Linked DNA regions of Oryza sativa Japonica Group. The protein of the gene in region 6 binds, or shares a complex with, the protein of the main gene of each other region. Links are inferred from orthologs where the notes say so. Each region holds a gene or a part of one and is shown on either strand. Other genes may lie near its edges.

The links.
Region 1: large ribosomal subunit protein uL1c (region 6) and large ribosomal subunit protein cL37 share a complex: the UniProt entries of both Arabidopsis thaliana proteins name them as parts of the 50S ribosomal subunit. The link is inferred for Oryza sativa Japonica Group from reciprocal best matches to the Arabidopsis thaliana genes EMB3126 and PSRP5.
Region 2: large ribosomal subunit protein uL1c (region 6) and uncharacterized protein share a complex: the UniProt entries of both Arabidopsis thaliana proteins name them as parts of the 50S ribosomal subunit. The link is inferred for Oryza sativa Japonica Group from reciprocal best matches to the Arabidopsis thaliana genes EMB3126 and emb2184.
Region 3: large ribosomal subunit protein uL1c (region 6) and 50S ribosomal protein L24, chloroplastic share a complex: the UniProt entries of both Arabidopsis thaliana proteins name them as parts of the 50S ribosomal subunit. The link is inferred for Oryza sativa Japonica Group from reciprocal best matches to the Arabidopsis thaliana genes EMB3126 and RPL24.
Region 4: large ribosomal subunit protein uL1c (region 6) and large ribosomal subunit protein bL34c share a complex: the UniProt entries of both Arabidopsis thaliana proteins name them as parts of the 50S ribosomal subunit. The link is inferred for Oryza sativa Japonica Group from reciprocal best matches to the Arabidopsis thaliana genes EMB3126 and AT1G29070.
Region 5: large ribosomal subunit protein uL1c (region 6) and large ribosomal subunit protein uL5c share a complex: the UniProt entries of both Arabidopsis thaliana proteins name them as parts of the 50S ribosomal subunit. The link is inferred for Oryza sativa Japonica Group from reciprocal best matches to the Arabidopsis thaliana genes EMB3126 and AT4G01310.
Region 7: large ribosomal subunit protein uL1c (region 6) and large ribosomal subunit protein bL28c share a complex: the UniProt entries of both Arabidopsis thaliana proteins name them as parts of the 50S ribosomal subunit. The link is inferred for Oryza sativa Japonica Group from reciprocal best matches to the Arabidopsis thaliana genes EMB3126 and PRPL28.

The regions. Positions count from the first base shown.
Region 1 is NC_089035.1:9,871,258-9,874,296, reverse strand, and holds large ribosomal subunit protein cL37, read right to left. Parts: upstream 1,829-3,039; 5' UTR 1,783-1,828; coding exon 1,674-1,782; intron 974-1,673; coding exon 651-973; 3' UTR 501-650; downstream 1-500.
Region 2 is NC_089035.1:25,929,496-25,932,154, forward strand, and holds uncharacterized protein, read right to left. Parts: upstream 1,362-2,659; 5' UTR 1,278-1,361; coding exon 1,188-1,277; intron 1,080-1,187; coding exon 762-1,079; 3' UTR 501-761; downstream 1-500. UniProt on the Arabidopsis thaliana protein: Binds the 23S rRNA.
Region 3 is NC_089040.1:29,338,661-29,342,471, forward strand, and holds 50S ribosomal protein L24, chloroplastic, read right to left. Parts: upstream 2,673-3,811; 5' UTR 2,593-2,672; coding exon 2,470-2,592; intron 1,361-2,469; coding exon 1,322-1,360; intron 1,247-1,321; coding exon 1,019-1,246; intron 906-1,018; coding exon 723-905; 3' UTR 501-722; downstream 1-500. UniProt on the Arabidopsis thaliana protein: One of two assembly initiator proteins, it binds directly to the 5'-end of the 23S rRNA, where it nucleates assembly of the 50S subunit. Required for optimal plastid performance in terms of photosynthesis and growth.
Region 4 is NC_089035.1:34,740,188-34,743,954, reverse strand, and holds large ribosomal subunit protein bL34c, read left to right. Parts: upstream 1-1,452; 5' UTR 1,453-1,476; coding exon 1,477-1,720; intron 1,721-2,833; exon of another isoform or gene 2,834-2,834; coding exon 2,835-3,094; 3' UTR 3,095-3,267; downstream 3,268-3,767. Other genes in the region: uncharacterized protein, read right to left, coding at 1-1,219. UniProt on the Arabidopsis thaliana protein: This protein binds directly to 23S ribosomal RNA.
Region 5 is NC_089037.1:1,440,999-1,444,451, forward strand, and holds large ribosomal subunit protein uL5c, read right to left. Parts: upstream 2,186-3,453; 5' UTR 2,118-2,185; coding exon 1,815-2,117; intron 1,682-1,814; coding exon 1,481-1,681; intron 1,090-1,480; coding exon 754-1,089; 3' UTR 501-753; downstream 1-500. Other genes in the region: probable polygalacturonase, read left to right, coding at 1-423. UniProt on the Arabidopsis thaliana protein: Binds 5S rRNA, forms part of the central protuberance of the 50S subunit.
Region 6 is NC_089039.1:18,889,852-18,893,777, forward strand, and holds the start of large ribosomal subunit protein uL1c, read left to right. Parts: upstream 1-1,126; 5' UTR 1,127-1,305; coding exon 1,306-1,674; intron 1,675-1,780; coding exon 1,781-1,960; intron 1,961-2,070; coding exon 2,071-2,125; intron 2,126-2,391; coding exon 2,392-2,519; intron 2,520-2,980; coding exon 2,981-3,064; intron 3,065-3,926. UniProt on the Arabidopsis thaliana protein: This protein binds directly to 23S ribosomal RNA.
Region 7 is NC_089039.1:104,682-108,872, forward strand, and holds large ribosomal subunit protein bL28c, read right to left. Parts: upstream 2,801-4,191; 5' UTR 2,758-2,800; coding exon 2,577-2,757; intron 962-2,576; coding exon 729-961; 3' UTR 412-728; downstream 1-411.

The DNA.
Region 1 (3,039 bases), on a different chromosome or scaffold from region 6:
ATAAATTTTACAACCACATCAACAGGAAGGGCATCAGAAAAAAAATCGAAAATGGCACTCTTCAGATTGTTCACATCGTGCCTGACAAAGTGGCAAACAACAAACAAACCCGAATTTGCTCCAGTTATTTCCTTGTCCAGGTTGATCCTTTGTGCTTTAATCAACATCAGGTCAGACGAAAGAGTTGTGAGAGGCCCTAACAAAACACATCATGGAAGTGTATATACAGGCAAATACCTCACAAATATAGAGTGCAGCACAGCAAGGCTTCTTGAAATTTGCTATGATTTTGAGTTTTTGACAAACACAGAAGGCATCAAGGTGCATATGATATTTCCACTATGGGAACACACATTAGATTTAGTGGTACTTCTGTAGGACAGCTAAAGCCTAAAGGAGAAAAAGGAGGGACATGTTAGAAGAAAATTTGTTCAGTACTGGGCTTTGTGTGTTTTTAACGGTGACCGGTTTATCCATTATCTAAAAAATACAAGATGAAATTTCATCGGGAAAGAAATAATCACATTTTGCAAACATTGTGTTTCATATTTTGAACAGCAAAATTCGCTGGGCATCAGCTTAGGAAATACAGAGACGGATGAACAGAACATAGAGGTGTACAGAAGAACAGCGACCGACATCACTGCTGGTTAGACGTTCTTGAGCTTCTTCATCTTGGATGGTGGCCATCTACCTTTCTTCCTCAGCCGCCTCTTCTGGACAAGCCTCCTGCGCCGCTGCCTCAGCTTCTTGGCCAGCTTCATCTTCGCCCTCTGCTCCATGATCATCTTCTGCTTAGTTTCGAGCGGCATTGTCTCAATCGAAACCGTGGGTTTTGGCTCCTCTGGTTGATCTGTGCCAGCTTCTTCTGCGCCAGCCTCTGCCGAGGCATGGACAGAAACTAGCCTCTTCTTGGTGAAAGAAGCATTCAGAGGGCTCTGCGAGGAGAGATTCTTGCACTGGAGCCTTGGGGCTGTAGCATCAGAAAGGACAAATGGCAAGCCTCAATGTGCATCATTTTAGATATAGAATTCAGAGTACATGCATGCTACTTTCAAAATTTTGATAGAATCTCCGTCATATAAGAAACTTGAAAGCTAATAAGTCTAGCTCATGTGTGCCACTTCATGGATAGTATATAGTACAATAACTAGTAACAATCCTAGTGTTCTCAATTACATATTATGATGAATCTTAGCAGAGCACAGATATGTAAAATCTACTCATCTATTAACAATCAGGCCCCAAATGTAGGGTGTACTACGAATGTCACCCTTTGCCAGTGACCGGTGCTTACATAGCATCTGATATTATCATTTAAGCACGAAAGAACCAAAGCTTCGAGAATCTGCAGAGTTCACTGAGATGAATTATACCTAGCTTTGTACAGAGATGATAAATGCACGGAATCTCCCACGAATTACTGCATCTGCACACGACGTGTTTGAAGAAATTCCCTAACGAGCCAACCGCATCCCAGAGAATCAGAAACGCCACGAATCACCAACGTCAAATATCTAGACCAATCCTCCCACCGAATTACAAATCACACCTCACAACAATGGATAGCCTCGTACCCACTCAGCATAATCCAATCCAAGAACCAACACCCCACAACCCGAGTAACTTATGCGCAAAAGTCCCGGTACGGAGAAGGCGTTCACGGAGGTTACCGGGGATGGTGGAGGCGACATTGGCGGAGGCGGGGAGAGCTCTGGCGCGAGGCGGGGAGGCGGAGGAGGAGGCGAGGAAGGAGACGGTCGGGGAGAGGAGCAGCGCCATGGCCACGGGCAGTGTGGGATTCGGCTTCTTGGCCCGTCGTCAGCCTATCCACCCATCAGCCCGGAGGGAGGAGATAAGCCTGTGCTGCTGTGAGCGCTCCGCCGTCCGATGGAGAATCAACGGCCAGATTTAATCTCCGTCAAGTAAGGCTGCTTGGCAGTTGGCCCACATGTCATAGGTGGAGAGAAATTTTGATTTTGATTTTCTTTTTCTCCTCTCGCCGCCTCCGCCGCCGCCGCGGGTGGCGGCGACAATCCGCATCGGCGGCGTCCCCTCCGCCCGGCCGCGCTCGCCGTCGCGTCCTACGCCGCCGCCGGCCGCCACATCCTGCGTTCGACGTGGATAGCAAGAGGTGGGGGAGCTCGCCGACGACAAGAACCTCCCGTTCGACGGCCAAGCGGGTGCCCATCGGTGATGAGAAGAGCAGCTAGCGACAACCTCTTCGTCTCCCACTCCAAGCCGAAGCACGCGCCGGCGCCGCCGTGTACCGCATCAAGAATGTCTCCTCCTCGTCGTCGCCGTCGCCGTCGCCGTCGCCGGCGTAGAGCAGTTTCAGCATCGAGGACGAGGAGGTGTCTGTACAGGAGCTGCTGCCAATGGTTGATCCGGGTCGTCAGCTCTCGTGCGCCATTGGGGATGGAAGCTTCTGCTCCTTCAGCTCGCGGACACCCATCAAGATTATGGAGCGTGCAGAGATCCTCCAGCCGAGCGTAGCTTCGACATGGACATCAATGCTGCCGGAGAGGAGGATGAGGATGATGCACGAGCCATCGTTGTATCAGTGTCAGAGAAGATTTACAGAATCTACGACAAGTCTCGCAGGCTGGCTCGCAGGGTTCAAATTTCCGGTTCGACCAAAGTTTTTTTTATTCTTTTGTGTGAATTTAGTAATATTTATTCAAATTTGACCAAATTTTGTTCGAAAATTCAAATAATTCTGGACCAAATTTCGGTATATCAGCACCCCAATACAAATACTGAAAACGAAAAATTGAACCATGGGCTCGCCAAGCGCCACTGATTGCTACATTGTTTATCTAAGAAAGCTTTGAGTGGGGTCGGAGACGCCTTGCGACAACATTGGCAAACTCCTCTTTGTGGGAACGACGACGACAGTTGGAGATGGTACAAAAGCGAAATTCTGGGACTTTGCTTGGTTGCAAGGGAGAAGGCTTAAGGAAGTTGGCCCCTCTGGTCTAAGCGACTTTCTGGAAGAAAAACAGAACTCTACAGTAGGCCACCAAATCTGGCCAATGG
Region 2 (2,659 bases), on a different chromosome or scaffold from region 6:
CTCGCCTAGAAACCACGAGACGAATCTTTTGAGCCTAATTAAGCCATCATTAGCACATGTGGGTTACTGGAAACCACGAGACGAATCTTTTGAGCCTAATCAAGCCGTCATTAGCACATGTGGGTTACCGTAGCACTTATGGCTAATCATAGACTAATTAGACTCAAAAGATTCGTCTCGCGATTTACATGTAAACTGTGTAATTAATTTTTTTTATCTATATTTAATGCTTCGTATATGTGTCCAAAGATTCGATGTGATGTTTTTGCGAAAAGTTTTTGGGAACTAAACATAGCCTTTATTGGCTAGAGCGTGGCTTGGATTTTGATGGCCTCAACTTTAGCGAGAAAACATGGTAAACCTTAGCAATGTTAGTACGTGAACTAACAGCCCCTTACTGCTTATTCTGAAGACCGGACAAACTGATGTATGCAACGATTCTATTCGAGAGCCCAGACCAACACTAGCATGCATCGATTCAACGAGTTGGAAATGTCCAATTACAGAGTGTGCAAATTGCAATATCTCCATTTTATATCGATGTCAAAGAGTACAGGCAGAGAACAAACAGTTCGATACCACAAATATGATCACACGTATCCACTGAGAACACCGATCGAACACCTAGAGAGCAATGCGAATGCACGTGTAACGAGAGGCGCAAGCAAGAGGAGCTAATCCATTTTACGCAATTCCCAAAATCAACCAAGAGAAACCGCACCGGCGAGGCCGGCGGCGGAGGCGAGAGGCGAAGCGGGGGCTCAGCTGGCGCCGGCGGATCCCTCCTCCTCCGGGTCGAACTCCGGGTCGCCGTCGGGGTGCATCTCCCTCCACTGGTCCTCGGGCCAGTACTCCTTGATGTGGCCCCACTTCTTGCGGAACTTCTCGATCTGGCTGTCCATGACGACCATCGCCGACGTGTCGCCGACGTAGTAGGGGTGGTTCCCCGACCACACGTCCACCGTGTACTCCGGCTTGGTTCCCCCCGTCACCAGCACCAGCTCCCCGTTGCAGTACACCTTCGCGTCCTCGTAGATCTCCGGGTGCAGCCCCTTCTTCCGCATCGAGCACCGCATCCTCTGCACGGCAAATCGTCACACCACCGCCCAGTTCCAATCACCTCCTCCGAATCTCCGATTCGGCGGCGCTACGCCTACGCGGTTGTGGGGGCATCGAAGGAATCGTACCTGGGAGGGGACGAGGGAGCGGAGGGTGGTCCTCGTGGCCGCCGCGGCGGCTTGGGTCGGGAGGAAGGAGGTGGAGAGGGAGAGCGCCATGGCTGCTGCTTCCTCGCGCGCTCGCGTCGCACTTTGCTCCGGATTCCCCTGTTTCGTGTCCCTTATCGGTTTCTGGTGTGTGTTATCCTCTCAAGCGTTGATGATTCTCAATTTTTGAGGCTTTGGTGCCGTGCGGGTGGCCGCTCGCCTGCCTCGCTTTGGCTGGGCTTTCTTAATTGTTGTTTGGTTTGGGCTGATACACGTTGGTTACTTACTGGCCCAGAAAAAAAAATGTATGCAATTATTTCGTTTACGTGGTAAAAATATGCAGAATTCCTAATTCTCGCATACGCGCCGCGGGCGCGCACTTCTGGCCCACGCGTATGCACGGCACCGCACGGGCGCGGTTAGATTCTTTCCATAGCGCATGTAGTAACTAGTCCATTAGTTTTAGCGTGTAAAAAAATACATTAGTTTTAGATAATCAAGATAAGATTTGTTTTTTCCGAAAATTTTTTAAAGTAACAGATTGAAAAGAAATTTATACATCAAGTCAAATTCTGAAAACTTTCAACCCATATTTGAAAACTTTCAACTCGAAATTTGAATTTTTTTTAAAGTCAAATTTTGAAAACTTTCAACTTTTCATCTCAAATTGAAAAAATTCAACTCAAATTTAAAACTTTCAACTCAGATTTGAAAACTTTCAAGTCAAATTTAAAAACTTTGAAGTCAAAATTTAAAACTTTCAACTCTACATTTGTAAAGGGGTGTGCGAAAGATTAAAAAAATAGAAAGAAATGGCGAAAAAAAAGAAAAACGCACCCGGATCCAGGCGCCAAAATCGTAAAAAAAAAGTGAGAAAGAAAAGCACGCGGGAACAGGGGAGGGGGCCAACTGACGCGGGCGCCAGCTAAATTGCTAGCACGTACGTGCGCATTAGCCTCCCCAAAGATATGGGTTAATTGGATCATGTTATTGCAAGTTTACCAATTTGCCATTACTATTCACGATATCAGGTTCATGCCACTGAAATTTTGCAAAATTTGAGCTATGCCACTCCGTTACAACAACTGTCAATACCTCTGTTAGCTCAACACCGCACAACGCAGATCAGTTTCTTCTTCAACTCAGGCGAAAATCTGGCGGTTCTCAGGCTCGTCGACGACTGCACGGAGAGAGCTTCTTCGATGAGGGCGTTGCCAATCCGGTGACGATTGCAAGCTTAATACCCAATGAAGGGAGGTGGAGCTGGAGGGGAGTGACGGTCATGAACCCTGCATCGCTGGTGGAAGGTGGAGGGAAGCGCCGAGCCCAACCCATGCGTTGGAGGGGAGTGGCGGTCACAGACCCCACGCCGCCGGTGAAAGATGGAGGGGAGCGCTAAGCCTAATCCCCGCACTGGAGGGGAGCGGCGTCTAGAACCGTCATCTTCCTTGCCG
Region 3 (3,811 bases), on a different chromosome or scaffold from region 6:
CATCTTCGTCTCATGGGATCTGGACAGGTGTCAGGTTTCCCTCGCGGAGCAAAACGCAAGCAGAAAACTGTGGTTTGCTTACGATCACCTGGATTTGATATTTGCGTGCCATATCTGCTATGTTGATTCTCAGCCGTCAGCACGAGCTCTTGAGCTTTCATGTTATCAATGGCAAATCAGATTTGTTTTTTCCTTTTTCTGACTATAATCTTTTAGCACTATATATTTGTATTTTTTTTCCTACTATATCAATAGAAACATCGCTATCTTTTAGCACTATATATTTGTATTTTTTTCCTACTATATCAATAGAAACATCGCTGCGGGTTGTTTCAAAAAAAAAATTGCTAAGCTTGTTTCTTTTATGATACTCCTATCTTACTACTCCTTAAAAAAAAGAACTTATCAATCATTCATGGGTTTTATATGTACATCTCATCTATATTTCTATATGGAAATGGACCAAATTAGTCAATGGTTGCGAATAATAGCTCAGGACAGGGGACAGCAACAACATTACAAAATCATTTGTATGAGCGAATGTAGCTGAACCATTCTAGTAGCTGGTTAACAAGCCAAGCATGTCATTGGATACAAAAAAATGTTGGCAACTGTATAGAAATTTACAAGACTCTGAAATCTGAATCTAGAAAAGCATCAACTCATTTGGGCATACAAAAAGTGCAGTTCAGAAAATGTGCAGGACTCCCATGCTACCATGATCACTCCGAACTTCCTTCCTTGAACACCTTGACCCAATTCTCAGCACTGTCAATTATTTCACCAGTCTTGACCAGGTACCGAACCTTCGTTCCATCCTCAAGGAATTTGTGTCCAACCCTACTCGCCACATTCTTTTCCTTTGAGTAGAGCATCACATTTGAGCTGTGAATGGGGCCTTCAATCTGATCAAAGAAAACACCAACAACCATAGGTTAACGATCAGGCATCTGAAACTATATATACGACACTAGCTAGAAGCAGCACAGAAAGAAGTTTCAAGAGAAACAATGCTGACCATGACGATTTCACCCGGTTCATCTTCTGTTCCTTTCTTGTGCTTGGACTTCAAGTTCAAGTCCTTCACTATTACAGTGCTGTTGTGCTTAAAAAGCCGCGTAACTTCTCCAACTTTACCTTTCTCACGGCCTGCAATGACTTGTACTGTATCGCCAATCCTAACATGCATCTTGTGCAGGACAGGAAGACTGTTTGGTTTACACTTCTTCCTCTCCCATCGCTTAAGCTGCATTGGAAAAAGGGAAATTTCAGACATTTGAGTAAATAGCAAGCTGCAGACCAAAAAAGAATTGAAACTTACCCTCATTTGAATTGGGCATGTCTTGATCATAAATTTAACCTGCATATAAAAATTTATGCATATCTTGTCAGAGTTTCTTATGAAAATGACATAAAATGTAATAATCAGCTGCTTTTGAGATATGACATGAATCATGCTCACGATGTTTCTTAGGCAAGAATATCTAGGATAATCATATGATCTTTTAGTACGAGTTTCTTCATATAAGTGCAGATTTTAGTACAGTTCATCATATAAGTGCCATATATAGCTCAGTCACTCCATTCAAGAGCAATTATTCGGCCTTATTTTCTCTCATCACCACTTTCCAGGTAAGTAATTAGTCGTGAGTGAGTCTCATTCTGAGGACGAAGTGCAGTAGACTATCTAGAAGAGCTAAGGAACGCCAAAAAGAATATACAAAAGATAGAACAAGTTCAGTCTGATAAGTATACCGAGTGTGCCAATCATTTGCTACAGGCTATCCCCGAGTGAAATGAGTTTCCATCATTTTCCCATGGAAGTCTTCTGTGAAATTTCTACTGTTGAGTAATTTAAAGTTCAAAGGCAAAATTGTTTCTAGCCAGCGAAATGTGATCTATACAGCAGGTTAGAACAAGAAATGGTCTGTCTCACTAGAGGGCACATCTTTCAGAAAAATAATCCTCTGCTTGAAAGGCTGAATATTGGGTATCCATCGCTTATACCACCATAGGAAAAAAATAATATTCAAGTTTAAACTGAAACATAACAGGCCACATCCCATGGTAGACAACACAATTTCTAACTTCTGAATTCACTCAGTTGATATACTCAAACTTGAGATTTCAAGCATTCATTAATTCATATAAACCCTCCTTATACTAGCCAACTAGGTTCAACTATACCACAAAATCCTTGAGACCTTTTCTCTAAAAAAAATATACCACAAAATTTTGACACAACGTTGGTTGTTGGCTAGTTGAGGTCCTGAGCCTGAACTCCTGAAGGCAACAACAGTACAGTGAGGCGATGTAGACATCACCATTGCAATGCCACGCTGTTGGTGAGCTCTAAAATCCTAAATCTCAGTGCAAGCTGGCATTTCTACTTTTCCAGCGAATCATAAGAGCAGAGCAAACATAAAGGAATGCGAAAAATGAGAATCAGGGTTGGGAGTCGGCACAAACCCCAGCCGGCGCGGCGGCGAAGGTGGAGAGCGGGTGGCCCCAGAAGCTGCTGGTGCTCGCCGCCCCCGGCGCAGAGATGGAGAGGGACGCCATCGCGCCCTGCAACGCCGCCACCCCGGCCATCTTCGTCTCCTCCCCTCCTCTTCCTCCCTCGCTCGCTCAAACCGCAGAGAAGCAGCAGAGGATAACGAACGCCTTCGTGTGCTCGCGGACAGGATAATGGCGAGCGCTTTTCTACATGACAAATGGGCCTCTAGGCCGAATGGATTGGCCCACTTGTAAGACTCATAAAGGCCTAATGAAAGGCCTATCGTAATCCAGCCCAACTACAACGGACCTTACGGCCCAAGTCAGCCGCGATCCCGTTCAGGCTCAAATATAGCGGGCCTCACGTAAGCCGCAATCCCGTCTCGACCCAACAAGAACAGGTCGCACCTACACAGATAAAATCTATTGTACATTTCTCATCTCTGCTCCTGATTGAATTACCTCCCTCAACCGCAAAATGGAGGAAAATCGGTCTTATTGTTTGGTTATGCTTATATTTATGAGCCAAAATTTGAATTTGAGAACTTAGTTTTGAATTTGCTTTTTTGTTTTTTTAAAATGCTTATATTTTACAACATTTGCTTTAAGTTATTATGGACATATATAAACATTTTACTCATAAATAAATTTTTATTTGCTAATAAACGATTCGAATAAGCGAAAACCGTAGCAGATCAACCCTTAGATGGTTTGTAGGGTGGTTCCTGTTGACGTGGCAGGCTGACTCGCAGAGAACATGAGGGAGGCAAAATAGACTTACTATCACGCACGTCAGCAATCCGGTTAAGGCCCAAATGTCGTGGGCCGCTCGTCGTCCGCAATCCCGTTTGTGGTCAAGTAACGTGGGCCGAACGTCCTGGGTTGATATGGGCCGACACCCGTTTTCGGATAAGGCCCAGCCCAGCATACGCTCGTCGTCTTCCTCGTTGCGTTGCGTGGCTTCGTCTCCACACGCATCATCACCACGCCACGCGCCGCGAGATGCTGCTTCGGCGGGGGCGCCCAGGCGTGGCGCCTCCCGGATTCCGGCGGCTTCGACGTCGCCGGCGACGCGCGCAAGCCAAGCGACAGTTGCGGAGGCAAGCAACCCCCCAAGTTCCGTCCCTTTTGCGCTTTTCTGGGACCCATTTCCTCTCTCTTTTGGGGGGCGCTTTCGCGGTGACGACGCTGCCGATGCGCGTACGCCTGAGGAGTTCTTCCCCATCACGCCGCGTGGGGGATCGGGACGTCGCCATTTCCGCTGCCGTTTTCTTCTCTTTGGGGGGTTGCAATCTCGCGTTTCATTTGATAGGGT
Region 4 (3,767 bases), on a different chromosome or scaffold from region 6:
CCTCAAACGCATCTAGGTAATGCACACTGCTGTACTTTGCCTTCAGCGCATCCAACAAGACCACGTTGATGCCCTCTCCCGCAACATACACCTGCCTTCCTCCTCCATTGAGTCTCTCCTCAATCCTTCTTCTGAGGTTCCCATCATTGCCACCAACATGAACAGAGTCAAAATCTACTTGCATCCTTGATATGATACCATCAACAATGTCCATCAAGCTTGGCGCCGTGCGTATTGCTCCCTGCGGTGGACGGAGGACATGCTCAGCTTCGCCCTCGCACACATTGTACCAATAATTCCCTGGCTCCACGTCCCCAAATTTCCTAACGATCAGGGGATCCCTCGACTTGGAGAACTTGGTGGGCGCAACCCTGCTGTCCTCGATGATGCGGACTCCAAGCTGACCCTGTGCTCCCCACTTGTCCCAATCCTCCCAGAACCGCTTGTGTTCAACGATCCCGACCACGGATTGCAGGTGCTCAATGTCAATATAGAAGGCGAGGCGCTTGCCCTCCTCGGGCATGCCCCCGGCGTAGGCGGCGGCGAGACAGACGCTGAGATCGAGGACGAGGGTGCGGTTGAGGTAGCGGGCCTCGGCGATGGAGCAGAGGAGACTACGAAGATAATGCGGCATGGGCTTGCACCGGTCGCCGCCGCCAAGGTAAGAGAGGTACTTGCCCGCGGCGAACTGGGAGCGCGAGAGCGCGGGTGGGGGCGGCGGGGCGGTGGCGTTGGTCCCGCCGCGGCGGGGCTTGCGGGCGAGGGGGCCGGAGTGGTATTCCCCGATGGAGGTAACGGAGTAGGCGCAGGTGACGGGGTCGCGGGCGACGGAGAAGCGGCGGTAGTCCTTGTAGTTGGCGGAGGCGGTGGATCGGGCGCGCCAGGCCATGTCGCAGGAGGACGACGGCGGGTCGCCGGGGACGGGGCGGCCGAAGCGGTTGAAGTGGACGTCGGGGAAGGCGTCGATGGCGCGGCGCATCATGAGGTGGAAGAGCTGCGGGTCGGCGCAGTCGAGCGTGGAGGTGGTGTCGCAGCTGGCCTGATCCTGCTGCTCCAGGTGGGACGTGGTGGGCGTCAAGGCGGCGGTGGGAGGGGAGAGGGAGATGGGGAGGTTGCGGAGGGTGAGGAAGAGGAAGGCGACGAGCAAGAGGGCGGCGGCGGCGTGGGCGGAGGAGGTGATGAGGGCGCCCCGCCCCAGCAACGGCCGGCTCGGGTCCATCCGGCGACGGCGACGGCCGACGGCGATGAGATCTGGTGGCTGATTGTGTAATAAAGCCCCGTCTGCAGGCGGCGGACGGTGGTGAACTTGTTTCTAGGAAGACGACGAACTGTTCCTCTTAATGGGCCTAACATGAGTGGGCCTAAGACGAAGGCCCATGATTTGGCCCAAGAATCGCATCTCGTCGTGGATAAGACGATAAAGCAACATTGTGTGGGGATAGCCATAGCCCTGCACCGCACCTCGACTCCCCAAACATGGCGCTCGCCCTCGTCTCGCCAATGGCGGCTCTCTCACTCCACTCCGGGAGGATCTCAGCGGCGGCTATCGGCGGCGGCCTCCGCTCTCGCAGGGCATCCCCGATGGGCGCCGCCGCCACCCCGTTCCTCCGGAGCTCCTTCGTCTCCTCCTCCTCCACGTCATCCGCCTCCGCCTCCCCCGCCGCGCTCTCTGCCGCGGTCTCGGCGTCGCTGACCTTCACCTCTGCCTCCTCATTTGCTGGTGAGAATGTGTACTTTACTCGTTCCTGATTCGCTTCGTTCTGTTGCTACCATTTGGGTTGGGGAACTAGATGGAGGAGAGAGTTGCCTGCAAAGAGAAAGGGAGGAATGAACTTTTGTGCTGCTGGTTTCGGCTTTAAGTACTGTACAATGGAGTGTTTATACTGTCAGATAGGTAGCGTGTACAGTTAATCAGTGCTTAATGTCAGAAGATAACTAAACTAAACTAGCGATTTTAATGCAATTGATATATTTGAAAGTTCTGATGGTATTCTGGCAATTTCCTGAGAAATCTTAAATTCAAACTCTGCCGTACTTGTTAGCTGCTGTACGCAGCTTGTTATAATCTGCAATGTCTGATCCTAAAGCCCACGCATTCTTATAGTTAACCATGTGCTAGAGAATTTTGCTTAAGATGTGGATTCCGATTAAGATTAAAAAAAATCACTTGTTTACACATCCAGTTTTTTAGTGTAAGAACGTGTATATATATTCATAATTCAGTGATTAGTTCTAGATGGTTCCATGTTAGGAAACCTACACGGCTGAAAGTTTCTTTTCTTCCTCCATGTACTGTGATACTGATATTGTGATTTCCAGTAGTGCCAGATGGACTGTAGATTGTAGTACATTCTTGCGACAGAATCATGAAAACATCACAAAAACTCAGGAAACTCCACTTTTTGGAGCGAGCGCATGAGCTTAATTTAGTAAACTCATTATGAAATATATCATCTAACATAATTATACTACGAACTAACGAAATCACTGAATCAAGAACGTTTAACTGGACAACTCAACTTTTTAAACAGTTCAGTTACAATTAATAGCCTTGCCACCTAAAGCAAAACCAAAATGCTCCTAAAACAAGCCAATAACGTTAGATTAAAGGAACTATTGCAATGATATTATCCTTTTGGAAAATGAACTGTACTTTACATACTAGAGTTTTTTTCCAAATGATCTTAGAGAACAAAAACACAAACTAAGGGCAATCAAATAGCCGGTTTCTGTGCTGTACTGTTGTATTTAGCAAATCCATGTTCTTATGTATCAAACCATATTTGTTCCAACCTACAAATGATTTCAGTATCCTAATATGTTACATATTTCAGGTTCATCTTTGGGAATTGAATTCAGCTACAACAGAGTTACAACAGGAAGATCCCGGATTCTGCAGATTAGGGCTGGAAAGGCTGCTCTGTGCATGACCAAGAGAAATAGATCTAGGAAGTCGCTTGCCCGTACACATGGTTTTCGCAGACGGATGAGGACTACTGCCGGAAGAAAGGTCCTGAAGCGCAGACGCGCCAAAGGAAGAAGGGTTCTCTGCACAAAGACGAACTCCCCCACTGGGAAGAAACGAATGTTCTGATTGAATCGCATTCTAAGTCGCTCTTTGTCACAATTGTAAGTGTATTTTTTTATCCCACGTTCTCGGTTATACTCAACCATAACAATTGGTGCAAATCCTTCACCCGGTGTCCGGTTAATGTGTGAAGTACATTATCAACACAAATTCAAGTTAGCCTTTTTGCTTGTGCAGTATTTAGTAGTTGTTTGCTGTGGGAATATGTTCTCCTTGATCTGCATTGCCATGGTTTTCCTCTGATCTATCTTGACTGCATTCTGAGCATAGATTTTGCCAAAGGGCCTAAATGCTAACTTGAGCAGTTGCTCAAATAAACTCATCAATTTTTCTATTCTGTAGTAGAACGTCCCTTTTATTTTCTGATACAGTCCAGTGAATTTTAATATTCAGATCATCTCATCATAGTCACTCCATGCTCCACTGTGTAACACAATTTATCCACCTCCTCTGTGCCAATCTCTTTGGTACACACTTATTTGTAAAACAACCTGATTGCCCATCCAATCCTCTGTCACCTTATAATTTTGCTACTATCAGGCGAAAAAATGGATAATATCCAGAACTCAACCTGGAATAAATGAAAGGCAACAAGTAGCAAAGAGAACATTTACATTCTAACAAACTGAATCCCTCCTCTTCTTCACTCGCATCGGCAAGCCGCCTTCCATCCTCAAGG
Region 5 (3,453 bases), on a different chromosome or scaffold from region 6:
GTGGGGCGCGGCGGCTACGTCAAGGACGTGTTCGTCCGCGGCCTCAGCCTCCACACCATGAAGTGGGTGTTCTGGATGACCGGCAACTACGGCCAGCACCCGGACAACTCCTCCGACCCCAACGCTCTGCCGGAGGTCACCGGCATCAACTACAGCGACGTGTTCGCGGAGAACGTCACCATGGCCGGCAGGATGGAGGGGATTCCCAACGACCCCTACACTGGCATCTGCATGTCCAACGTCACCGCGCAGCTCGCGCCGGACGCCAAGAAGCTGCAATGGAACTGCACCGATGTCAAGGGTGTCGCCTCCGACGTCTCGCCGGTGCCGTGCCCGGAGCTCGGGGCGGCGGGCAAGCCATGCGCCTTCCCTGAAGAAGAGCTCGTCATCGGTCCGCCTGAATTGCCAACGTGTAGCTACTGAAATACTGATATAGGATGATAGTATGGTGTGGGTAATGGCCTGGGCTATGAGATGCTTGGGACCAAAGAGATATATATGATGTGGTTTAGTGAGTAAAGTTAAGCAGTTTGAAAATGCTGCCGGATAATCTCTTTACACCCAATTCATTTATGAGTGCTCATCTGCGAATGACCTGACCAAAGCAAAGCCTTTTCATTTTGTCTTCTGACAGTAAATACAGCACGTGACAAGATAACAAAATCATCAAACTTCTAAACGAAACTTTGCAAAAACAATGACAATTGACAAAGTGAGAAGCAAAGCTCAACGTGCCTAGGCAGCGGTTTGCAATCACCGTCTTCCCCTGCCCTTGCTCATGAAGTGGTGGCGCTTCAACCTCTTCTTCCGGATCACCACGGAGGACTTGATGTGCTCCGCGAACGGCATGCCAAGGAGGGTGAGCAGCCTGAGAGCCTCGTTGTCGGTCTTCGCGGTGGTGACGATGCAGACGTCCATTCCATTCTTCTTCCCACCGACCTCGTACGGGATCTCCGGGAACACGCCCTGATCACGAAGGCCTATGGTGAAGTTGCCATGGCCATCAAAGCTGTTGGGGTTGACACCAAGGAAGTCCATGGTCCTAGGAAGCCCAAGGTTGATGAGCCTATCCAGGAAGTTGAACATTACCTGCAGCAAGCCAAAATAAGCTCATCGATCAAACATATTCCCTAGGTTCCCAAATACTTGTCACTGGATACTATTCATATTTGAACTTTGATCACTTATATTTTTTAGAAAATAAAATGCATATACCTAAAAATATGCCATATTATTAAAGGTTGTTACTCCACATAGATAGGTATTAAACTTTCGTTCGTCCAACCATTTAAAATTTGTGGTCAATGTAAAATACTGACGGCCAACGGTGACAATAATTTGGAACTGGATGGAGTAATTGCAATTCTCACACATACTTTAGGCTATTATACTGTCATGCAAATCCCAAATTGATACAACATTGCAGTCCCCAATTTGTCAATGTCTGCATCGCAAGTAGCCAGAGGTACAGAGGACTCACCCTGCCGCGGAGCGTAACGGCAATACCAATGGTGTTCCCCTCGCGGATCTTGAAACTGGCGACGGACTTCTTGGCCTTCGTCTTGACGGGCCACTGGCCGGTGATCATGGCGAGGTCCTTCATGGCGGATTCGAGCCCCTTGGAGTTACCGGCTTCAGCCCCCAACCCGCAATTCACTACAATCTTCTCAACCTTGGGCACCTGAATAAAATCGAGAATCCAAAACACACTCCTCTAAGCTCAATTATTGAACAACAATCGAATTTCCCGAGTTCCGCAAAGAAATGGCCATGTCTATCCTATAATTGCGAGAAGGGAGACAGAGGTCGAACACCTGGTGGACATTGGTGTAGCCGAACTCCTCGGTGATGAGGGGGACCACCTTCTGGTCGTATACAGCCTTGAGGCGGTGCACCTTCTGTGCCTCGGTGGGGTCGACGAGGACGATGCCCGAAGGCGAGGTCGGCGGCGGCGCCGGCTTGGGTGGCGCGTCGGCCGCGGCGGAGGCGGCGACGCGGAGGGCTCGGCGAGGAGGCGGGGAGCGGAGGAGGAGGCGGACGTTACGGGAGGAGGAGGCGGTGGTGGTGACGGGGAAGGGGGCCGGCGAGGACGGCAGGGTCACAGCCGTGGCCGCCATTGGAGCGTGCGCGGAGACGGAGGTGGGAGCTGAGGAGGGAGCTTTATGCCATGGATGGATTACGGGATAAGGCGAGTTGGCTGTGGCTGGCTGCCGTTGCTGTCCAGTGTCGCAGGTGGGCTTTCTCGTCATGGTTCGGCCCATCGAACTGTTCGACATGGTTTCAGGCCTTAGGCCCATCAAAACCGTTGATTTGGGCCTTAGGCCCATCAAAACCGTTGAGTTGGGGGTGAACTAAACACGGCCTAAGAGAAGGGTAAAGTTACATGAGTCAACAACTGCAAGTCTGCAGTGTGTGAATTTCGATATATGCCTTGTTTTGGTCAACCGGTAACAGTGTTTGAGTATGTGGCCCATTCTGTATTTTCTAATGCACTACAGGACATCACTAGTATAGTAGTAGTATGCCATTAAACGATGACTTCAAACATAAAAAACGCCGATGAAGAGCTTAAACAAGATCAAGCAAACTCTGAACCTAGCAACAGTTGCTGGCAGATCAGCAGGAGATCTGCCACGCTTGATCAACATTGAAAAATGGACGGAATATCACGACGAGGATCCTCGTCACATGCTTATGCCTAACTAATCATGCAGTAACCGTAACATGCAGTTCTTTATAACCAGGGGACAATCACTAGGATCTGATTTGAAAGGTCCCAGATCACAACATTGCGCTTGCCCTACCTTGTTCTACCAAGGACCAGCAATGCCACGACCGTGATCCTGTGAGGATCGACTTGACACCAAGAGTAGAAACACAACGGACAATATCTTCCTTGTCAGTTTGCAACCTAATCCTGATAAACTACATTAACCTCCTTGACCTCAAGAAGTAACTGTCAGTCTGTGACCTTGTCACTTGTCAGGGCCTTAATGAACAGCCATTCAGCAGTATGGAGGAACCGCCTAGTGTGCATAAGCTTCATTAATTCTTCTTCACGGTCAAAAAGTAATCAGCCATGCATCACTTTCATATTTACATCCGGCACATCTCGTGAACAAGAGATACAGAATGTCGGCAAATAAAGAATATAAAAGAAAGTACACATTTTATCAGTGAACACCTCACTGTCAGCAGCACGACTCAACCAGACTAATAAATTCAGAATGGTACTGATTAATATATATCATTACCAGCAGTACTAGCAAAAGCATCAGCCATTCAGCCCCAGCACATCATTTCTAATACCTGTGTGCTCCACCGTCCAAATGAGCTTCCAAATATCTATCTAAATTATTCTTCTATTAACAGGACAGAAAAGCATATTACAAGGCTACAATTGCCACTGAAGCAAAAACTAATAAGAGATGACAGCAAATAAAAAGAAAAAAA
Region 6 (3,926 bases):
AAAAAAAGAACTACTACATAACACTATACTGTTACAACAGAATACCTTATGGTGCTAACATCAGCACAGGATCGTAGGTATCATATTTGTATGTGCACTGGATCTGGTACTACCAGACACGATATCCATTAATACCACATTATCAGACTCTCGTATTGGTTCCTATTTCCTTCGTCCCATAAAAAATCAATTTCTAGGAATGAATCCGGACAACATTCTTAGGACATTCACAGTGCGCTACATATTTTTGCCGTTCCTCATATGCCACGTAGACGAAGAACCTGTTAAGCTTCATCCTCTACAATGCAAGTACTAGTAGTGGGTCCCACCGGTACAGTTTTTTCAATTTTCATCTCTCAATCTCTCTCTCTCCTCTGTTTCTTTTCTCATCCGAAATCTTTCATCCCCCAATCTCTCACTCTATTTCTTTTCTCACCAGGGCATCCGAGGCGCTGGGGCTGAGCGGCGGCGGCTGTCAGGGCAGCCCGAGCTGCGACGGTGCCGGACGGCGAGCTCCCATCCTCATCATTGGATACGGTGGCGGTCGCAGCCTCTTCGTCGATGGCGCCTTCCTCTCTCTCTCTCCCCGTGGCTGTGGCGACAATGCGCTCGCTGTCGACGCTGCGCGAAGCCACTCGTGTGAGGCTCCGCCCTCCACAACACGACAACTCACCTTTCTCCCTGCTTTCTTCGTTTGAAGAACGAGTATCCATGTTTGGGTACGAGAACCTTATTTGGCTCCGCGTACTGTCAATGCGGCGCCGAATATTCAGTTCTTGGCTATGGGGCTGAACGTCACATCCTTCTACTGTGAACACTCTTAGAAGTTGTATCTTTTGGGATAGAGAGTGTAGGTACTCTGATGGTACGGCCAGACATTTCTGATACTCTCGCAACTAACAGATTATGGGTAATGGTTCGTAGTATTTTTAAAAAGTAAATAGCACTACATTATCGGTGGTTCTTTTGGACCGTACCCAGTAACGGCGAAATCGTGAGCTTTTGGGCCCAATCCGACGCCCGCGGCGCCGCAGCGCACCACCCTCCCCCAACCGTCTCCCCCGCGCGCGCGGGCACACACGGCTCGGCTAATCCAAAATAGCCCAAATCGCACGAGTCCTCCCCCGTCCCCCGCGACGCGCGAGCGAGAGAGAGCCCTATCCGCTGCGCGCTTCGCCCGCTCGCCTCGCCCTCGCCTCACCGGCTATTATAACACTCTCGCGCTGCCACTTCGCCTTTTCCTCCCCTTTCTATCCTCCACCTCGGCTTATCTCCTCCCCCCTCCCCACCACCACCACCACCACCATGGCCACAGCCGCTTCCCTCTCCGCCACCGCCTCCTCCCTCCTCGCCCCCGCCCCCGCCACCACCGGCGCCGCGGCGGCGCAGTGCTGCTCCTCCTCGTCCACCGCGCTGTTCCCCACCCCCGTCCCGTCGCTGCGCGCCTACTACCCGCGCCTGCTCCTCGCGTTCCGCCGCCCCGCCGTCGCCGCCGTCGCAGACCCGCAGGGCGCCGTGCTCGAGGAGGAGCAGGGGGAGCAGCAGGACGAGGGGCAGGAGCAGTACGACGACGACGACTACGACGACGGGTACGAGGGCGGACGCGGCCCCGCGTTCACGCCCCCCACCCGCCCGCGCACCGGCAAGGCCGCCCTTCCGCTCAAGCGCGACCGCGTATGCCCCCCCCGAATCCAGCCTCCCCCCCGCGTGTTCATCCATTCGTGTTGATTTTTGGATTGACGCTGACGCCGCGTTCGCCTTTTTTTTGATGGGTTTGCAGACGAGGTCGAAGCGATTCCTGGAGATACAGAAGCTGAGGGAGAGCAAGAAGGAGCACGACGTGCCCACGGCCATCTCGCTGGTGAAGCAGATGGCCAGCGCCCGATTCGTCGAGTCCGCTGAGGCGCACTTCCGCATGAACCTCGACCCCAAGTACAACGACCAGCAGCTCCGCGCCACGGTTATTGCTCTTTCTCTCTGCTGTTGCCATTGTTACGTACGTTCTGTTCTGGCTTGTGTTTTATCAATCGTTTTTGATGATATTGGATCGGTTTTGGTGATGATGTGCAGGTTAATTTGCCCAAGGGGACGGGCCAGTCGGTGAAGATTGCGGTCCTCACACAAGGTGGGTTGCAATTACATTTTGGAGATTGTTATCGCAGCACCAATTCCAATTGCAATCTTTGGTGCATGGATTGATTAGGTCACTGCTAGTTGTGTCTTTTAGGTGTGGTTTGCCTGCTTGATCATGTGGTTATTTACGGTTCATTAAATTGGAAGCACGCTGTTATATAGTGAATTGAAATGGAAGTATGTGAATGCGCGCTAGTCACTAAAGTGGTGCACTAATCACTAGCACTATGTAATGGCTATTGTCAAATATCCTTGCAGGTGAGAAGATAGATCAAGCAAGAGCTGCAGGAGCTGATATTGTCGGTGGAGATGACCTGATTGACCAAATAAAAGGAGGATTTATGGAATTTGACAAGCTGATTGCATCACCTGATATGATGCCTAAGGTATGGCATTAGCTGCATAACTCATGTCTAAAACAATTCCAAGCATTATGAAGACTTGTCTTTTTGCATGTCTCCGACATAGTTTATCCCACATCCAAATGAACACGTTATGTTTCAGTGTTATTAGGAACCACAAAACCAGGCAACATTTAGTTGTATTGATCAGATATTGTTTTCTTATCATTACCTGCCATATCTGATCCATCCCTTCATATTACAAGTGTCTAGCATTTACGATTATGATTTGAGCCATAATGGAGATATGCAAATTTGGTTCACTCAGAGAAAATAGATTCGATAAGCAAATAAGGTTCTACTGTTTTGAATTGGTACATTCTTCGGAAGTTTGGATGCAGTTCTGCAATAAGTGTTGAGCTCCATGCAAGACCTGCATGGAAGTTTTAAAGGTGTGCTACTAGCTCGGCATATTATGTTGTTGATTTTGGTCTTTTGCTTCACAGGTCGCCGGATTGGGAAAGATTCTAGGACCGAGAGGACTTATGCCTAACCCCAAAGCTGGGACTGTTTCTCCAAACATAACTCAGGTACAATGGAAATTCTACAGATTACTATATGTATTGACACTGTTGCTTGTGGTTTTCTCTCCCATTTGCTTGGTTATTGTGACCCTGAGTGAAAGGTGGGTAACTGTCCATTTACCTTCTTTGATCCTTGGTGAACTTCTGTTTTATCCTCGTTCAATGCAATAGGCAGAACTCCTGCCCTTTTGTTCAAAGAAGTTGTCCATTTACGTCATCTCAGTACTTACCTCATAGATGCACTTCTGGGAGAAAACCTACTGATATATTGCTACCTTGTTTAGTAGTCTTCATTGTGTGTGCAATATATTTCAGTGGTTCGATTTTCAGACATGTTGATAGACATTTTTTTAACCTTGTTATTCGTAGATAGAAGGTTTGAAATTTTGTTTGTGCCAACTGAATTTGAGGATATGCATGGATGCATAGCTCCATCGTTCGTTTGTTGGCTTATCAACGGCAGCCAAAATCTGGATTTTGAAACTTAATTTAGAATTGATTTTGAGGGGTTTTTTTTATTGTGCTTTATTCTCCAGTGCTGGCTTTTGAATCGCTAAGAACATAGATATAGACGTTTTACTCAAAAGTTATTTTTGGTTGCTTCGTCATTTTTCCACGGCTTATCAGCCATAGAGCAAATGATCGTGTAATGACTGATGATGATGGTAATCTGCTACTTAGCCTGCATAGTGCCTCCGTAACAGTTATGTAAAGCATCACAACAAATCTGCAAAATAGAGAAAACAGGTAAAGTAGGCTACTTGACTGTTAGGAACAACCATCATTTATAACGGTTAACTGAAGGACAGGAGTGGGAGCATTTGTGAAAAATCTAGCCCTTTAGGTAATGAACTGGGCTATATTGTGC
Region 7 (4,191 bases), about 19 Mb from region 6:
CAGAGGTTGCGCGTGTGTGGAGCTGCCGGGTTGCTCCACGTCTACAACTCAACACCTTTTTCTCGTCTCTACATTTTTAGAGAGAAAAAAAACAACCTTCTAATTTTGTAGGGGTTCATTATTCATTTAGGCTCTTATTAAATATCAATAGCTAAAAAGGGGAATAAAACAATCCATCAATTTCAGCTATCTCAAACCAGACAGGCCATAGCAGTAGAACAATCAATATTGGCGTAGGAGTTCCTTTTGTACAAAACAAACAGCTTTTCAATTTTGTACAAGTTAATTCTTTCATTTAGGCTCTTATTAAATATCAATAGCCAAAAAGGAAATAAAATAATTAATCAATTTCAGCTTAGACTGGAAGACACTCTAAAGTGAAAAGCGCAAGATGCCAACTGCACGACCTGATGCTGCTCAAGTTACATCCATCCATCTTATAATTCGTAACCAACATACAGTATTAATTAGGAACTCGACCGAAATGAAACACTAGTAGCAAACAATTCGAGCCGGACTTGCAGCAGCAACACGGGATAAAAGGAAATTTAAGGAAACGAAGCCGGCCACCACCACCGATGAATGCATACTGTAGTACTCTACAATAAATTGCATCATCGAGATGAATGGATTTAATAATGGACTACATACAGCTCTGGTCTATTCAGCACAGCGGCAATTGATGAGAGAATACATGTATGTATGCATCATGATGATGATGATTTGATTTATTTCTTGTTGAGGTCGATGCCGGCCTTTTTGGCGACGGCGTCGAGGCCATGCTTCTCGATGGTCTTGAGGGCTTTGGTGGAGAGACGCAGCTTGACGAAGCGCTTGCCTTCCTCCCACCACAGCTTCTTGTACTGCAGGTTCACAAACTGCTGCTTCTTCGTCTTGTGGTTTGAGAAGGACACCTTGTTCGCCCTGTTGGTCTTCTTGTCCGTGAAGGGGCATATCCGGCCTGAGTCACCCACCCCCACATCATACAACAACATCACCATACACGCCATCTTGTTCCTACTACTACTAGTTTCTATAATTTGTGGCATCATGCAAACAAAAGATAAAGTATAATCTCACCCTTTTAAATTACTTGTCCTTAACTTTATCATAAGCCAAACATTTAATATCATAATATTTATGTGTTTATATATGCATCATGAAAAGTACCTTCATAATATATAGTACAATTAACATGTTGTTAAACTTTACAAATTTCTAGAAATTGATAAGTCACAATTATCTTTTTAAATAAGAAATTGATAGTTAAAGTTATGAATGGTTGACTTAGAATAAAACTAAAACTATAACTTGAAATGGCCAGAATAGTTATATTTTTTCTTTTCCCCCTTCTTTCTTATATACACTAGTAAGAAGAAGAAGCTCTGCTTATGTCTTAGAGAAACAAAGAGATGGTTGTCAGACATAAACAAGCAACCATTTCAAATATATTCTAAACAACCCTGTTAAATTTCACTTGGCGCAAGGATATTATTGGCCTTAAGTTAGTGGCGTGGAATCATCTCTTTCCACGCATTGCTAATATAGTGTTGTCACACGAGAAAGATGACTTTAAATTGAATCTAACACCTGATGGAAGATTCTTGGTTAAAACTCATTATCTTGCACATACAAGAGTTCCCAATTTTAACAAACATATCTAGAAGTTAAAAATCCCTCTCAAAGTGAAAATGTTTCTATCGTATTTATGTCGAGGGGTGGTGTTAACAAAAGATAACCTGGCTAAACGGAATTGAAAAGGGAATAAGACCTATTGTTTTTACCACAAGGAAGAAACGATAAAGCATTTATTTTTTGAATGTCGGCTAGCCCGATCAGTTTGGTCTTTAATCCAGATTGCATCGAACATTTCTTCACCTAGGAGTGTGTCACATATGTCTGGACAATGGAGTTTGCGACAAAACAAAGAGTCTAGGCCTCCTTTTCTACTAGGAGTTGACTTGTTGGGCTATTTGGCTATAAAGGAATGATGTGATTTTTGACAGGAAAATTGTTTCTTCTTCTTTGCAGGTTATTTTCTTGATCACACATTGGCTCCGATCATGGATTATTCTCAAGAAGCCAGATTACAGGGGTTTTGTCTGTTCGGCTTGTCTTCATTTGGAGCATGTGGTCAAGGTTTTTTTTTTTTACCCAGGCACATGAGCGGCAACCTAGTCTTCCGATATTAGGTCCTTAATCGTTGAGTTAGTTCTGTTTTTCTTGTTGTGTGGTATCTATTGGTTGTGCACTGACATGGTGCAAAGAACGACCAAATTCAATAAAGCTTCCATTCTCTTAAAAATACAAAGAAAGATCTGAGTTTATGGTAATAGATTGACAGCTAGTCTATTTTCGAGAGATTAAAGCAATCAATTACTAACAAATAGGTCATCTGGTTCTAGTAGTAGTATATATACAGTGGAGTATTGGATAGCGCAAAAAAAAAACGAAGGATAAAGTAACAACTTTAATAGTAGCAGAAATGACATTGGTGGTGTAATATAAAACTGTAATGTCAATCTGCGGGTGGATGGCTCGAAACAGAGAGAAGAAGGAGGAGGCAGATGACGTACGCGCGAGGATGGGGTGGAGCTTGGGACCGGCGGCGGAGGGCGCGGTGGTGGCTGCGGCGGAGAGGCCGAGGCTGAGGCCGGCGAGTTGCGAGGTGGCGAAGCCGAGAGAGGAAGAGGAGGAGGAAGTGCGAAGGAGCGGAGCCCTGGTGGCGGGCGTGAAGGAGCAGAGCATGGTCGCCATCGCCACTGGAGCCTGGAGGAAGAAGAAGAAGAAGAAGAGGATCAAGTCTTGTGCGGCTGCGGCGTGGCGTACAACTTGTTTCTCCTATCCTATCATAATCGTCTCTCTATGTACTGTGTGAGCAGGGGCCCATATATCGTAGTACTGTAGAAAAGGGCGGCCCAAGCCCAACTCTCATTACTACTAGTATTACTCACAGTGATAAGTCCACTTATTATCCCTTATTTTACGTCGAGTTTAATGGTATCTCTAAACCGCAATACCAGCAATCTTCACCCCCTCCCCCCCATTTTGGAAAAACCTTCCAAGTCAGTCTCATGGTATTATGGATGACTGGTTTCACTAACGTGGCATACCAATCAGAAAATTAAAATTTAAAGTGGACTTCCTCCCAACCTGTCCCCTCTCTTCCCCATCTCTCCACCTCCCCCCTCTCTTTCCCATCTCCTCCAGTGGGGAGAGGGGCGGCGGCCAGCGAGCCCATCCACGGGAGGTGGTAATGGTGGTGGGAGGTCAGTGATGAGGTGGCTCCAGTGGTCCACGACGGGGGAGAAGAGGAGGTAGGTGAGGGAGCCGGCGAGTTCGAGCTCATGAGCTATCTGCAGGAAAGCCCAGTCGTGTCAGGAGTGTGAGGAGCCGCGGGGATGGGAAGGGGGTGCTGCGGTGGTGGCGGCAAAACTTGAGCTCAAGCGGTAGTGATGAAGATGAGTACGCATGCGGAGGGTGACGTTGTTGATGGAGGTGTTGGGGAAGAAGCAAGTGAACTAGAGGGACAATGTCGTGTCGCACACCACCAACTCCCACACATTCTCGCGAGCATCCAAGATGGGGACAGTAGCAAAAGTCTGGCTCCCACTTCCAGATCCCCTTCGCATCAACCTCCATTCCAGATAGCACACTTCTACCCACTGGTCCACCTCCTCCTCTTCCTCATACTCCTCCACATCGCTCTTGGGCTCCTCCTCGTTGATGGCTTTTGAAGTGGAGACAGTGGAGCTCTCGGAGGAGACAGACCGGCATGCTCGCGACGACATCGCAACACCGGGTCGAGGTCGAGCCGGCCCCTACTTCTCTTTTCCGTCTTCAAGAACAGCCTCCTTGACTTCCGCCCACCCATCCCTCGCCGAAGGAGCTATCAAAGAGGTCACCCGAGAAGATGTGGAGTTGATTCTCTCCTCCTTGATGGCCAGGAAGACAGGAAGAGGACCCTCTCGCAGGCGGTGTGGAGGATTGTTGTCTGTCCTACCAGTGTTGGTGTGTGGTGGACCGACAAGGCTCCTCTAACTTAAGTCAAAGGGACATGCATCTCTAACATGTGGGCCTATAAAGGTGGGCCGCACCTGTCAAGGACTCATATCCTTCTAACTTTAAGTCAGAGGAGCTCCTTTCGTGGTGGACGAATGAACTCGTCGGCGTGTGAGAACAGAGAACTGA